2 linked regions of the Nothobranchius furzeri genome follow. Each later gene encodes a partner of the first gene's protein in a complex. Links are inferred from orthologs where the notes say so. Each region holds a gene or a part of one and is shown on either strand. Other genes may lie near its edges.

The links. The genes of interacting proteins can lie anywhere in the genome.
Region 2: cyfip1 (region 1) and wasf2 share a complex: the UniProt entries of both Homo sapiens proteins name them as parts of the WAVE2 complex. The link is inferred for Nothobranchius furzeri from reciprocal best matches to the Homo sapiens genes CYFIP1 and WASF2.

The regions. Positions count from the first base shown.
Region 1 is NC_091756.1:62,400,635-62,407,198, forward strand, and holds the end of cyfip1 (cytoplasmic FMR1-interacting protein 1 homolog), read right to left. Parts: intron 6,486-6,564; coding exon 6,391-6,485; intron 6,252-6,390; coding exon 6,013-6,251; intron 5,931-6,012; coding exon 5,783-5,930; intron 2,864-5,782; coding exon 2,699-2,863; 3' UTR 2,264-2,698; downstream 1-2,263. Other genes in the region: magnesium transporter NIPA2, read left to right, coding at 1-27, 1,219-1,877. UniProt on the Homo sapiens protein: Component of the CYFIP1-EIF4E-FMR1 complex which binds to the mRNA cap and mediates translational repression. In the CYFIP1-EIF4E-FMR1 complex this subunit is an adapter between EIF4E and FMR1.
Region 2 is NC_091759.1:21,186,821-21,195,013, reverse strand, and holds the start of wasf2 (actin-binding protein WASF2), read right to left. Parts: upstream 4,604-8,193; 5' UTR 4,481-4,603; intron 2,736-4,480; 5' UTR 2,706-2,735; coding exon 2,573-2,705; intron 52-2,572; coding exon 1-51. UniProt on the Homo sapiens protein: Downstream effector molecule involved in the transmission of signals from tyrosine kinase receptors and small GTPases to the actin cytoskeleton. Promotes formation of actin filaments. Part of the WAVE complex that regulates lamellipodia formation.

The sequences.
Region 1 (6,564 bases):
ACATGGCCAAGAAACTGGTCGACCCAGGTACAGAAGAGACTAGCTTTACAGCCTGGCACGAATCAAAAGGTCTGTCGTATTTATCACCATGACAGCATCGGTCAGTGTGGTTGTGCCATGAAGCAGGAGTTCCTGCAGGGCTCAAGGTCTGTAGTACTATATACATAGAACTACAGGAAATGAATAAACAGTACAAATCTGGATTATTACTCAAAAGCAGGATTATAAATTAAACTGACCTTGTAGAACGAGTGAGGTTAGAGTCCGGGTAGAGGATGCAGCAGACGGACTAAAAGGAGATGGATTGGCTTCGGCGACACCCTGAAGGGAAACGTCCAGCTTGGGCTGTTGGAGACATCTTCACACCAGAGAGTGTTTAAGACAATATTAATTTGAAGGGATTTTATGAGACAGAAACTTTCTGTTCTGATCCAAACAGCAGCAGGTTTACACAACTGAGAGCTTTATGCAACATCCTCCTCTTCCAACTCCGGTCATTAGAGATGCACAGGTCCTTGTTCTGAGGGTGGATGCTGGTCCTTAGTTTTAACCTGCTGGTACCAACTTCCACATGGAGTTCTGCCATTCCTAGCATGTTAGCTCTTAGCAATGATGAGTTCATTAACTGGGAAAAATCTGGAGTTTTGATATTCAGTTTGGCCAATTCCTTAGCCGGCTATGCTCGATACTGGCGATCAGCAGCCATTTTGTTTATTCATGGGTGAATCTAGTTTTTCCTATCAGGACTTTTATTTCCTTCCGTCCTTTAATAAAATCTGCTGTAACAGAGTCTGATAGTGAGATTGTGTGTGTTGTTGTTCTGTAAACTCATTAAACTGGTTTAATTTGAGTAGAAAACATGTCAAATGCATGAAACACAACGTTTTGTGTGAATGAGGACTGAGACCAAACCTCTGGTACTATTGTTATAGAACTACTAATCTAGAGTTTTTAATCTAATCCAGACTAGGGGACAAGAAGCTCTGCTGTGTTAATTTAGTTTCCTCTGGAGTGTTGGGAATGAGTAGACAGCCTAAGTCTGAGTTTATTGGAACTGATGTCACAGCAGTAACCAGTCAGTATTAAACTATTAGTATTAATAAAATTTCTCTTAATCAGGATTACACCAGTACCAGAAAGCAGGGATAACACTATATACTTGTACATAAACTTGTATTTTTAAAGTCATTAAATGTTGAATTTCTTCTTTTTTCTAAGGGTTTTTTGTTTTTGCAACTCTTGTCGTTATCGTGGCCCTCATCTTCATATTTGTCATCAGCCCACGCCACGGTCAGACCAATATCCTGGTCTACATCACCATCTGCTCAGTGATCGGGGCGCTGTCCGTGTCCTGTGTTAAGGGACTGGGGATTGCCATCAAGGATGCTATAGCTGGGAGGAGTGTGGTGAAGAACCCGCTGACCTGGATCCTCGTCTTTGGTCTGGTGGGCTGCGTGAGCACACAGATAAACTACCTAAACAAGGCTCTGGACATATTCAACACCTCCCTGGTGACACCCATCTACTACGTGTTCTTCACCACATCAGTGCTCACGTGCTCCGCCATCCTCTTCAAGGAGTGGGAGCACATGGGCTCCGATGACGTGATCGGGACCCTCAGCGGCTTCCTCACGATCATTGTAGGCATCTTCCTGCTGCACGCCTTCAAAGACGTCAGCATTAGCTTGGCTTCTCTGGCCGTGTCCATGAGGAAAGAGGAACGGGCGTGTCCAGCGGTCAACGGCATGGCCTCCCACAGCACCTATGAACTGCTGCACAACGAGTCCACAGAGGACATGGAGGGCAGAGACGTGAGTCTGCCTTTTGACAGTGTCTCAAGGAGGAACGGAGCCATGACGTCCTCCTTAGATATGTAATAAACTTTGATTTGATTCAACCGTGGTAATAACATGGTTTATATAAACAATGAGACAATCAACTGTGAGGGGACGTAGACGGACCTGTCGATTGTATTGGTTTTAATTTGCCTTACTTTCCTCTGAACGTGACTCGTGTTCGGTTACAGGACTCCGTTCCGCTGTAGCTCTGTACATACGGGAGTTGTTTTGTTATACATACATGATTTCCATGCACTGACTTACTTTCTATAAATCTGAAGCTAATATATATTCTGTATCAGGACCTGCTGATTTTGAATTTAATGGAATATTCTCCGATTTGACTTTTTACGATACTTGAAACTTAAGTTGGGGACCTTCTGACCCGGGGAGAAGTTTTTACATAAATTCTTCACCAGAACCAACAGATTTGATACGTATTTATTGAATTAAAAGATTAAAACATTACAAAGACAAGGCACGGTGAATAATTGCTTCACAAAACATTGTGCATCATTACATTTCCTTTAAATGTTTTAGCATGCATGTTTAAAAGTACAAAATTACTTAAAATAAATTCCCCTTTAATATTTCACCACGGCAAACCCTTAAATACTCGTCTGATGAACCCAACATCCCTCTGTCATCTGTAGCTACCTGCAAGTAGAAAAGGAATAGCTCTTCAATGGAGGCGGTATCTATTTTTGCTCTTAAGGCACAAGTGAATACAAAAAAGGTCCTAACGCACTGCATTAATGGTCCGTTACTCCTAACAGCCTAACACACACGACGAGGAGTTGTAGTTGGTCTGGTAATGCTGGCGTGTCGTTCTGGTCCATGAAAGAGCTCTGAGCAGCACCTCAGCTGCTGGCGAGCGACTGGTGAATCGGAGGCTGGAAGCATCTGACGTGCTCCACCGGCATGTTCTCTCCATCTCCAGACTTCATGTACTTGTTCAAGATGGCAAAGATCTCATCGTTGAGGACTTGGAATTTGCGGATTCGTTCCACCATCTTCTTCAGAGGCTAGAAGAAAACCAAAACCATGAATGCATGATGTTGTGTTGCTCAGTCTTCAGTGGAAACGCGAGACGTCTGCTCACATGTCCGAGGTCCACAATGGAGTGCAGGGAAGTACGGCAACATTAAAGGTTCGTTGTGGAAAGAAGGGTAGGGGAGGGGTCAAAATCTGGGCATCTCATTCGGAGATTGTCATAAAACTTAATGAACAAACTTCGATGATGATTAATGATAAACGTATTGGAATAAAATTTACATCTTCTAACAATATTCCCAAAACTACCAGGAAAATGATGTTATTCTCAGTGAAACTGGCTTCCACATATCTAAACACCATCTAGAGCTGAGCTGACTCACTTGGTAATAATCTCATCAAACCAAGAATTTCCAGCAAAAACAAATAATTTTAAATACCTAACTTAATAAATGAACTCGTTTGTAGTTTTGTGCTCCAAAGATCTGGTTTTAAGTGTTTGGAAGGACCTGTGGCACCTGTTAGGCAGCCTCACTTCTGGTAGTCTCCCAGAGCAGCTGTGGCTACTATGTAGCTCATCACCAGCATGTGAATGGGTGAATGACCAGTGTGAGGGGGTAGGGGTGATTAGAACCTTAGTGCTCTATGAATACATTCTCAGTCTCGACGAGTTAAAAGTATTGAATGACTGGAAGACCGCTACAGGTAAATGGAGACTCCGTTGCTTGGGAAGTGTTACAAATGCAAAATAAGGCGTTCTTGGTTCTGCTCCATGTCTGCTGCTAGACACCTTCTATACACTATTTTTTTGAAAGGAAAGTGGCGTCCTGACCAATCACAGGCTTTAGGTCTCAGTCACTTTTGACAGATAATTAGAAAACTGGCATGTCTCCGTCAACCTCCGCAGGCTTGCTACAGTGCATTTGCATCATGGCGGTGCGTGTCTCCGTACCCACACAAACAGCAGTATGAAGCAGGCTTTAGTGTGTGGTGATCAAGTCAGTAACCCATCGTTACAGAGGACAAAACGGATATGGTCCAGCTTCAGGACGGACTGCCATTCACACCGACTACAGTTTATGAGCAGCCTAGAAATGTAGACCGTCAGTGGCTGAAGCAAAATCATTTTGCTCTGCATGTCGCTCTAGCCACTCTCCACTGGAACCTCCAAAGTCCTGGACAGCCTGCTGGCTGGCCAATCACAGTGCTCCATCGGTTTGGTGGGCCAATCAGTGTTTTATCGGTTTGGTGGGCCAATCACAGTGCTCCATCGGTTTGGTGGGCCAATCACAGTGCTCCATCGATTTGGTGGGCCAATCACAGTGCTCCATCGGTTTGGTGGGCCAATCACAGTGCTCCATCGGTTTGGTGGGCCAATCACAGTGCTCCATCGGTTTGGTGGGCCAATCACAGCGTTTTATCGGTTTGGTGGGCCAATCACAGCGTTTTATCGGTTTGGTGGGCCAATCACAGTGCTCCATCGGTTTGGTGGGCAGGATGTTACTTTGAATGAAACTAAGATGGCAATGGCTCGTTGGAAACAGCTTTGGCATCAACTTTGGACTATTTAGACTTTTCTTTGCGTCTAGGACAGATAGAGATACTCAAGTTTCTTTAGAAAAGGACGCATTGGTGTCTTCAACAGTTTCAAAGACAACCATAGATTCCGTCCCACGACAGAGCTGTCAATACGTCATGGCAAGACTATATATTCATATGGGACAGCAGTAGCTCAGGAGGTAGAGGAGGTTGTCCAGAGAATTCTGCAGTTGTGTCCTTGGGCAAGACACTTAACCCACCTTGCCTGCTGGTGGTGGTCGGAGGGAGCGGTGCGCCTGTGCTCGGCAGCCTCGCCTCTGTCAGTGCGCCCCAGGGCAGCTGTAGCTACACTGTAGCTAATCCCCACCAGAGTGTGAATGACTGTGTTGTGAAGCGCCTTGGGGGGTTGTAGAACCCTAGAAGGCGCTATACAAATACAGGCCCTTTATGTATAGGATTGGCTGGCTAGTTCGTGTGCTGAACATCTGGAAATTTGTTCCCAAAAGAGCACCAAATGATTAGAAATTTGACATAATACATGAAAAGACATACCTGTAAAAATAATGTGGACCATCATACACTTAACTGAAATCCCTGTCATTAATAATAAGACGCAAGCCAATAGGAATGTGTATTGGTGAAATTCTGGGGATACGATACGTATCACGATCCAGGTGAGACGATACGTCGTGATACATTCAGTTAGATGTTCTCAGCAAATTCTTTTTGACTGAATTTATTGTTGGAATATCCCATAAACAGTCCAAACCGATACTTAACATGTTTAACGTGAGGTATCTGAACCCTAATTGAGGGATTTACATTTCAATGGTGGAAACAAAACCCTTTGCACACTGCTGCCAACTAGCGGTCGGCATTTGAATTGCACCCAAAAGCAAAGAAAATACACAAATGTTTGACTGAATTCTTCCAAAAGTTAGATACATAGCTTATTAATATTGATGTAATATTGCAAAAAATAAAAAAAATCACTATATATTGCTATATCGATATTTTCTTACATCCCTTCAAGCCAGCAAAAATAATGCAACACATATTTCAATGTTAACGTCACCAGATGCACCTCGCAGTTCTACCTCTCTCTTCTCGTTCGGCTCAGGTCATTTCTATGACTTCCTGACAATCCGGAGCTCTGCACCTGAATCTGCAACGTACCGCAGGCGCAGCAGGTGTGAATGACCTGCTCTGATTGGGCTCAAAGATTCTTGATCTTTGCAGAAGCCATACGGAACTGGACCGCATCCTTCTGCAGCGGTTCTGTTCCCTCCTACTGTCAGAGAGACACCGGGCTACAAAGACTCTAACCCTACAGCAGAAGGTGGTGATACGAGCACAAAGCAACAGTCATATGATAACGATTTTAACGGTTGGAGTTCTCGTCTCTGACTTACCACACTCTTGATGATCTCATCTTTGCCGTCATGCTTCTGCACTTTGAGGAGGTGGTAGCTGAAGTCCAGGATGTCAAAGCGTCTCTGTTGTCCTAGGAGAGCGATGATCATGCAGCCGGCCCAGTGGAGGCCATCACCAAAGCACTGCCTGGAGAAAGGGAATGTGACACATTAGGAAACAGCGTCTGTGTTCTGTTGTTTTTGTTAGAAATGTGAGCTGCTGCACTCACTCCACAGTGAACTCATGCGCTCCCACAGGAATGCAGTACACAAACTGCATGGCGCTCCAGAGACGGTGGAACTCCACACACTCGTCCACGTGCATCACGCCATTACTGGGCAACGGCCCGCGCCAGATCGGGTCGTCCAGGAAGCCCCGCACACGTGTGAGGATAACTTCGAACATGGACAGGCCGCAGCACAGCCTCTCTTTCGTCAGTAGGTCACCCTCACGGGCGATGGCGATTTGCTAGAAAGAGCAGCAGAAAACAAACTTGAGTCCACCTGGACATCCGCATATCACTCATCCAGCTTTAGTAAAAATAAATTATGATATAAAAACGGCATCCATGCTGGTTCTGCCGACAGAATTATAATGTTGGTTCTACCTGTGGGGTTCCGAGGCGCTCTATCAGAGGAACCATGTGCAGAGCCGTGTATTTGGCTTCTAAGCGCTTCATCTTAGCATCCAGACGTTCCCCCTCTACAGAAAAGAGTAAACGGAGATTAAATTATTTTAACTGCAGTTTCTATCTTTTGTGTTAAATGTGGCAAATAACATG
Region 2 (8,193 bases), on another chromosome or scaffold:
ACGCTCCAGCCTGGACAAACAGCTCCCCAAACACATCCTCGGCATATTTACCTACAAAACACACACACACACACCTTAGCAACATACTATTACAGGGGTGGACCTTTAAAGCGCCCGAGCGACAATGGCGCTAAATTTTCTCGTCGGGCGGTAAATACTTGACGACTTACCGCCCGGATGGCGCCCAAGCCTTGTTTGTCATTTACACACCAGCTTTCACCTACATCATGGCCGCGCCCTGTAGGAAGCCGCCGTTTTCGTTTCGCGCGCGTGAACCGGCGCGCCTCTAGCCACGTACTGCACGAATCTAGTTCTAGTCACGTGAACTATAAGTTCACTATTAAAGACGAAGTGGAACCACCACGCTAGAAACACACAAGCACACAGGAAGATGGCGCCGCCACAGGGATGGGATTTCTTGATGAAATCTCCGGCAAAACGCTTTAAAACTGGTGAGGAGAAGCGAGACAGTTGGAAACGGTATGAAGCAGAGAAGCGTGTGCGTAGGTGGAATGATTCTTGGCGGTTTAAAGAAGACGGGAGGCGCAGAGAATGGCCATGTTCGAGCTGAGCAGCGCCTCGCCTGGAAAACAGACGAGAGCAGACGTAAGCAGCAGGGGGAGTGGCTGAAAGCCGGCGTTTAAGTCGGACAGATTTCCCTACATGTGTAGCTCGGGGGCGACGATGGCTGAAGATATGGCGTTAGCGTTCACACTTGTTCAATTTTCTATTTTAATTCTGGTGCCTGTTAGCAGCTGAAACACATCCTCACGTGCTTGTGGATATCATATATTGTATTTGGAGACCTGACTGTAATAATGAGTAAAGGTTATCAGCTGTAGCTTCAGTGTGCTCATAGGAAACGTGACAAAAGAACACAAAAAACATTTCTCTTCATGGCCTATATAGTTGTCATCATCAACATAACATGATTTACAGAATACTAGGGCTGTAGCGAAGCCTCGACGACGTCGACGGCTCGATTCTAAAAATTTGTCGACGTCAGATCTGGTAGTGGACGCACCGCGCCCACTTGTTGCATCCGCAGGAGTTTGTAAATAGAGGAGGAATCTGCCTGTTTTTCCTCTAGTTCGCCCTCTTCTCCGCCTTCACTAACATCTCCGCCAAATACCAAAGACCCGGAACAACGTCCGTCCACTACTAGATTATTTTCCTGTTTTGCCCGCCTTCGTCTCCCGGCAACGGACAACAACTTCCGGGGTCAGATGTGCTGCTTCGTGTCTACCGCAGATGTAGAAAATCACCGGGAGCGCTTCTCCCTTCATTAAGGAGCTTCTTTCAGACATGAGGAGAGCTGTTTTGGTGGTAGCAGTCTCTCCTCCGTGCTGGTCTGTTTGCTGCTGGGTGTTTTTGGTTTATTTAAACTTGGTAACTTGAACTTAACGTTGGTAAAGCTACTGTTAGCATCTTCGCTAACAGCTTCTTGCGTTGGGATAAGCTGTTACGTTTTGGTTTAGAGTTCATCTTTTTTGTGGTGTAGATCTCCCTTTTATTACATTTAGAGTGTTGTGGGTTTTCGGTTTAGTGTAAAATATCACCTGAGTTTGGTTTAACCCGTAAGACCACTCGCCTCACGCACATAAGTGACCAAAACAAAGCAGCATGGAGACACTCCATCTTCTACCACCTCTCAGACAGCAGCCTGCTCTCCCAAGTTCTACACGTCACCAGAACATAACCAACCAACACAATAAACGCAGTGTTATACAAAATGGAAGGCCTGTAGTGTTTATTCTCTTACAGTAAGAATTTATCAATTTTTTTGAGGAATTTATTTGAGATTTTCTGGTTTTTGTTAATTGTGCAATAGAAAAATAATCATTAGATTAATTTTCTAAATAGTCATTAGAATAGTCGACTATTCGATAAAATAATCGTCAGAATAATCGTTTTAAAAATAATCGTTTACCCCCAGCCCTACAGAATACATGTGACCAACTAACATTTCATGTTCTACCACCGGATGTTTGGATCAAAATATGAACCAATCAGATCTTAGATCGGGTGAGAGCCAGGCGTTTCCCGTCATCCTCTAGGTTTTGCAGCCGAGGGAGAGCAACTGCAGCGCCTTGCTCCAAAATCTGCGGTCGCCTTGATCTCACGAGGTTATCGTTGCCTACGTGTGCATGACGTCAGAGCAAGTCGGCGTCAAGTCGGACACAAATCTAACCGGCATGCACTGCTCGCCGATCGCCGCTGGTCTAATCTGCGCAGAACTGGCTCATCTCGAACACAGCCAATGGCTCGAGTACAGCAAAGCGGAGTTGGTGATGTACTGCGTTGTATGCCGGAAGTATGCGACGACAAAATCGTGTTTTGTTGAGGGAACAAACAAATTCAAACTTGAATACGTTATTATGTTTGTGAATGTGTACAAAATAAAGGTTTATTACATTTAAAACAGTTCAGTTGTTATTTTGACTCGTTTTGGCAGCTGACCAGCGGGGCCGGTAAATATTCAGAGTTACCGGCCCGGCTGGCCGGTTGGTTTTGAAGTTAATGTCCACCCCTGTATTAGCTCAGCCGCCATGTTTTACTGCACATCACTCACTGAGACTGCCGAGCTGACGGATGATGTTGGCCAGGCTGATGTTGGTCACACACTCCAGCTCACTGCGGATGGTGGAGGGGAGGGTTTGGCGACACACATGCCGCGGCTCAATATTCCTCGTCACCAAAGGCATGATGGGCTGTGGCGGGCAGCAGACCCAACCCTGACAAAGAGGGATGGAAGAGTTATTCAAGCCAAATGGATAAGGTGATTAAATACCTGCAAATAAATATTTAGTCATTCCTCTTTTCTTTAAAAGGTGCATTATGTAAAAATTAACTAAAAATGATATACTGTGTTCAAATTTGTTTCATGCTACCACTTTAAACAACTCTGGAGCTTTTTGGGATCTTTTGGGATTTTCTCACTGTAATTTCTCACTATATATTTTACATACTACACCTTTAAGTTTTCTTTGGCTTAATGTTCAGTCACTTTACAGTAAGCTGTGCATTTTTTTAAAGACATGAAAGGCATCTAAACCTCAAAAGACAGGAGGCGGCAGCCTTGAAAAAATTTAATTCAAGCACTTTTAAGGTTAGTTATCTAGATTTTCCAGCAACTTACACCAATGAGGACACACAAAGACATAAACAGACACTAAATATGAGCTCAAAAGAACTATTTCACTTCCTCATCCTCATTTCTGGGTTGCTACAGACAAATGTACATGCCAAACACAAACAACATATATATTAATGAAAAGTTTTTGTTCCATTAGTACGTTCAGAAATTTATTTAAAGGCCAATTTTTTCTAACGTACTACAGTAAAATCAGAGATTTGTTGTATATCTAAGAACACTGAAGGGGCTGCAAAATACATTGAAATGGTAGCATTATTGCAGTATTAGTAAAAAAAAAGTTAACGAATAACTGCTTCGACTGCAATAACTCTTAGTTTGTGACATACATTAGCATGCTGATCGCACATGAGGAAAGGTGCACGGAAAACATGGATTTACCACAATATTCAAGATGAATAAAGTTTTTTTGAAGGGTTATTTTCAATAAACGTCATCTCAAAATCATTGCACCATATCGTAAATGTTACTGCAACATAAGTTCCGTTCTGGTAAGAATTTATACCAGCAATAAAACTACACACTTTAAAGTCAGGCTCATGGCAAACACAGACATGTAAAAATAAAACTGAACCAGACAACAAAGCAGAAGCAAAACTAAAACTTTGCTCATCTCAGCAGTAAAAATAGACCAGAGTTTATTTCAGCTCATAGCTTCCCCACATCAGTGCTTGCAGCATGATAAATATAACTGATTATTTCTCTAGAACTAAGCAGTAGCTCATTTATGAAACAAGCAACTCCCATTAGGCCCTCAGAGATCTGCAGTTTCTGGTTTGTTGGGCTTCCTGAAACCCATTTAGGTTCCCTAATTACAAGCGTTTCATGTGAACTGTGAAGCATCAGAAAGCGATGAATCATGGCATAAATGTCACCTACTTAATTATGCGTGTCAGTCAAAAGTGTCCTCACTTTCCTCTCTTAGTTTTCAGCCAGACTGTGTCCAAATGGCGCAGGTTTACACACTTTTTGGAGAACAACTTGCTAGTTTTGGGAAGCTCATGTTGTTCCGACAGTGACTCACTCCCTGCCTCTAGGACAAACTAAGATAAATTAGTTTTATCTACTTTAGACATAATCAGGTTCTCTAAATTAAAAGTTCGGGCTTAACAAATCAAAACGCGATAAAATCGTTGATTTTCTTTAATGTCCACAACATTAGCTAAAACTAGCTAGCTAAAACAAGCTAGTTTACTTTGGGATCACGGCCTCGTCAGAGCAGGAAGTAACTTGTGGGCGTCCGCTACACCGAAAAAGCAGCTAAACAGGCTCGTATTTACGCGCCAACTTGACAAAAACAACACTAACTGATTATTATTTACTTACCGTAAAAAACTGAAGCCGCAGAGTCTCTCTACAGCGCCCGTTTTCTGACTGCTGTTATGATTGTCTAAAAAAATCCAGAGCGGCACAGTAAAGCGCTCGAGCTAAACAGCGCGTGAGCTCCCGAAAATGCAAACTTCTGATTGGTCGAGGGGTGGAGTTGCTCGAAGCTGATTGGCTAACGCGGCTGTCGGAGGATTTAGCTGACAGGATGTTGAAACGTCAACGTAAAAAGCGCAGCTCCACCCTAGGAGCAAACATCTGTCCGCAATCTTAGTAAGGGGGGGCGGAGGCTGCATTCCGACATGCGCTCCCGCGAGTTGGAACGCGTCCCAGGAATGACCGGCATCTCGGTGCTCTATGAATGAGAACAACACATTAAAAGTTAAAAGGAACACGAGAGAGATGCGTTGTTGAAAGCATCCTGCGCAGCAGGCTCGGCCCATTCACACTGAAAGAAAGTAAAGCAACAGAAAATAATAAATCATGCGTGAGGGAAGTTAAAACGCGAGGCTCAACTTTGCAACATTGCAGCTAGGCAACAGGATTATGGGTGCTTAATGATGAGACGGTGCTTTGTTTTCTTGTGTGTACTTTTAACACTTAGACAACACACATATTGCATCAACATTCTAGTTGTAAACCTTTGTGTTGAATTTAAACTGTCATTGCAAGTAATGGATGTATTTCTAAAGTGTAAAAATGAATTGAGAAATCTAACTGCTGCATTACCCAACCTGAAGAGAAATAATGCAGAAAATACCTACAGGATCATGTCAGACAGGTTTGTTGTTAGTGCAACCCACATCAAATTACAACATGAGAGCGGTGGAAGGCTGAGTCATTCACAGTAGTGATGCAGAAGGCAATTTCCTTATTGAACAATGCAATATTACAGAACATCACCTTAAATTAAAGATCAAGAGTCTTCACAGCAACATGTATTTGGTTTAAAATGTTTTTAAAAGTGTTTTTGTAGGTAAACATCTATTAAGAAGAACTTTCTGGCGTTTCTTGTTGTATTTTTGTAAATTTCAATTAAAATAGTTTCATATTTGTTGTCCAGGATAGAGAAAGGAGAATGAAAACGTTTGTATGTGCATTTGCATTGGCACACAACTCAAAATACTTTGCTTTGTACTTTAAATATCTATTGCACAAAGTCATGAAGGGTTATTTTAATGTGCACAAATACATCAAAGTATTTTCTGATTTGTTTTTTATTTCATACAACAGACTGAAAATGTTTTATTTTATCGAAATGAATCCGATTTGTGAATAGTATCACTGATTAAGATAAAGCAAAAGCACATTTGATTTTTTACAAGTAACATGTTGGAAAAAGTAAAATGTCTAGATTTTTTTTATTTTATTAATTTACTCTCAACACATATTTAACAAACAATATTTATTCTTTCTTTATAATCTCTGTTTTAAATCACGTTTACAGAAAAAAATAACACCTAAAATACAAAATGCAACACTTATAATGTCCACTAGAGGGAGCTATCGCGCGGAGCAGTGAGTCTGAAAACTAGTGTCTTTCCACCAAACTCATCCAGTTTCAGTGCAGCACCATCTCCAGCACCACAGCTCTCCATGTCAGCGCCGGGTGTTGACCCAGCTGAGTGTGTAGGAGCTGTGAGCGATTGCTTCTGTCTGTTTCAGGACACTATGACCCTTCCCAGAAGAGCTGTGAAGCAGGTAGAGGCCTGAAGCTTCAATCCGCTGAAGGACACTGAACCAGCAGCAGAGAACTTCCTCATCAGCCCCTCCCACCTCAAACCCTGGCCAGTGCAGGTGCACCATGGCAACCAGATGATGGATGTTTTCCAGAGTTCCTGCTTCGATCCAGTTTTGGAAAACCCGCCACTCAGCTCTTAAGAGGTCAGCATACAAAAAAATGAACCTAAAGGGAAAAATAAATAAATAATATATATATATAAGTTAGCTATGGGAATAATTCTTCAACTGCATCTTAAAACAAGACTCCCTGATCTTAAATGTTTTATCACCAAGTGCAAGTATGTGTCTCCCTCTTGTGGCAGCCGGATGTAGCTGGACCCCCGTATGATTCACTCACCTAAACTGTTGCCATGGCAGCCAGAGATGGCGCAGAGCCCTGTTACTATGGGAACGGCCAAGAAAAATGAGCTTTCTGGGTATGTTGGGGGTGAAAAGACACTAAGGTGTGTTTGTTTGGCGGGGTTTCTTCCTGTCTGTGTGTGTGTATGAGTGTGTGTATAACTGTGTGTGTGTGTGTGTGTGTGTGTCTTACAGTGTGGTGTCCCAAGGCGGCAATGATATCTGCCAGTGTTTGCGAGACACTGCCCAGGTTCCCCCTCATCTTGTGCTTACGCCTCCTTGGGGCTCGCCACTCCAGCCACATTGTGTGCTGGATGACACCGCCTCTGTTGTCATGGTTACTAGCCAAACCGTTGCCAAGGTGATCGTCGGATGCATCGGAGATGCTGGGATTAAAAGTGTGGACCTCACATCCTAGTCTTGAGACAGTCTGGATAAATTCTTCATCCCCTCCATCCAGACTGGAAACTCAAACAGACAAGGTGGGGGGGGGGGGGGGAGTTTATGGCACGCATGATTAGATATGCATTGTTTATTCCAGCTGTGACAGTGATGTGAATGCATAAGCGAGGCGGTAATTGTGTGGTACAGACAGAGGCGCACCTAAAGGAATATGCAACACAGGGCGTATCTGCAGCTGGAAGGAGCCCATCCTCTGCACACAGCAGCCAGCACGTTGAAGCCACGGGGGGGCTGTGCTGGCTGAGCCTTCCCTGGAGGTAAAACGCTGGAGCAGCTCAGCTGGGGATGGAGGAGAGGAGAAAGATGGGCTGGATAGAGCCCTGAGACCCATCTGCCAATGAGTTAGCATTCAAATTAGAGGAGAGGAAGAACTTGGGAAATTCACGGGGACGTGTCAGGGCATCTCGCTCACTTCCTGGTATTCGTTCACCTGGAGTCTGTTGTTGTTTATGGATCAATGCTAGTTTTGGTGTTTGCAGTCTGGGCTCTGCTGCCAGCATGACTGCTAGCCCACACACCAGTCTGCAGCAGTGGTTGTGAATGGGAGGCTTTTGTTGATCGCTGCTGGCAAAATCAAACTTCTGGCTATTTTAGTTTTTTTATAATGAATTTTTGTAAAAAAAAAAAAAAGTTAAAAAAAACTTTCCCAAAAGTATATTTTACATTTAAGTAAATACTCTTGCAACGTCCAGCAATGGTCAGTTTTAGGTACAGTATGGCCTTTCAACGTCTATTCAACATCTGGTCAAACAGGAGACACAAGACTGCTTGTGTTCCCTTTAAATGAGCCTGCCTTCATACCAGCTGGAGCTCACAGACTCTGCGGCTGTGACAACAATAACTTTCTTCCTCAAGGCCTCCACATAAGGAACACTCCAGCTCGGATCAGTTGTTAAATTCAAGAATGATTTCCTAAATCAACATGAACTTCTTCCATGACTTAGAATCAATTCAGTTCAAATTCAAAAATACTTTATTAATCCCAGAGGGAAATTAGAGTTTCAGTACACACAATTCTGAGATCAGACATACATACATAGACAAATGACAAGAATTGGTGACTGTGGTCATTCGCAACACGAGTCGCGCTACCGTTACAGATCAAGAGGGTTTATATGAGGATAGAGTCTGGGGGAGGTGAAAAAGGCACTTCAGAGTTACCCTCAACA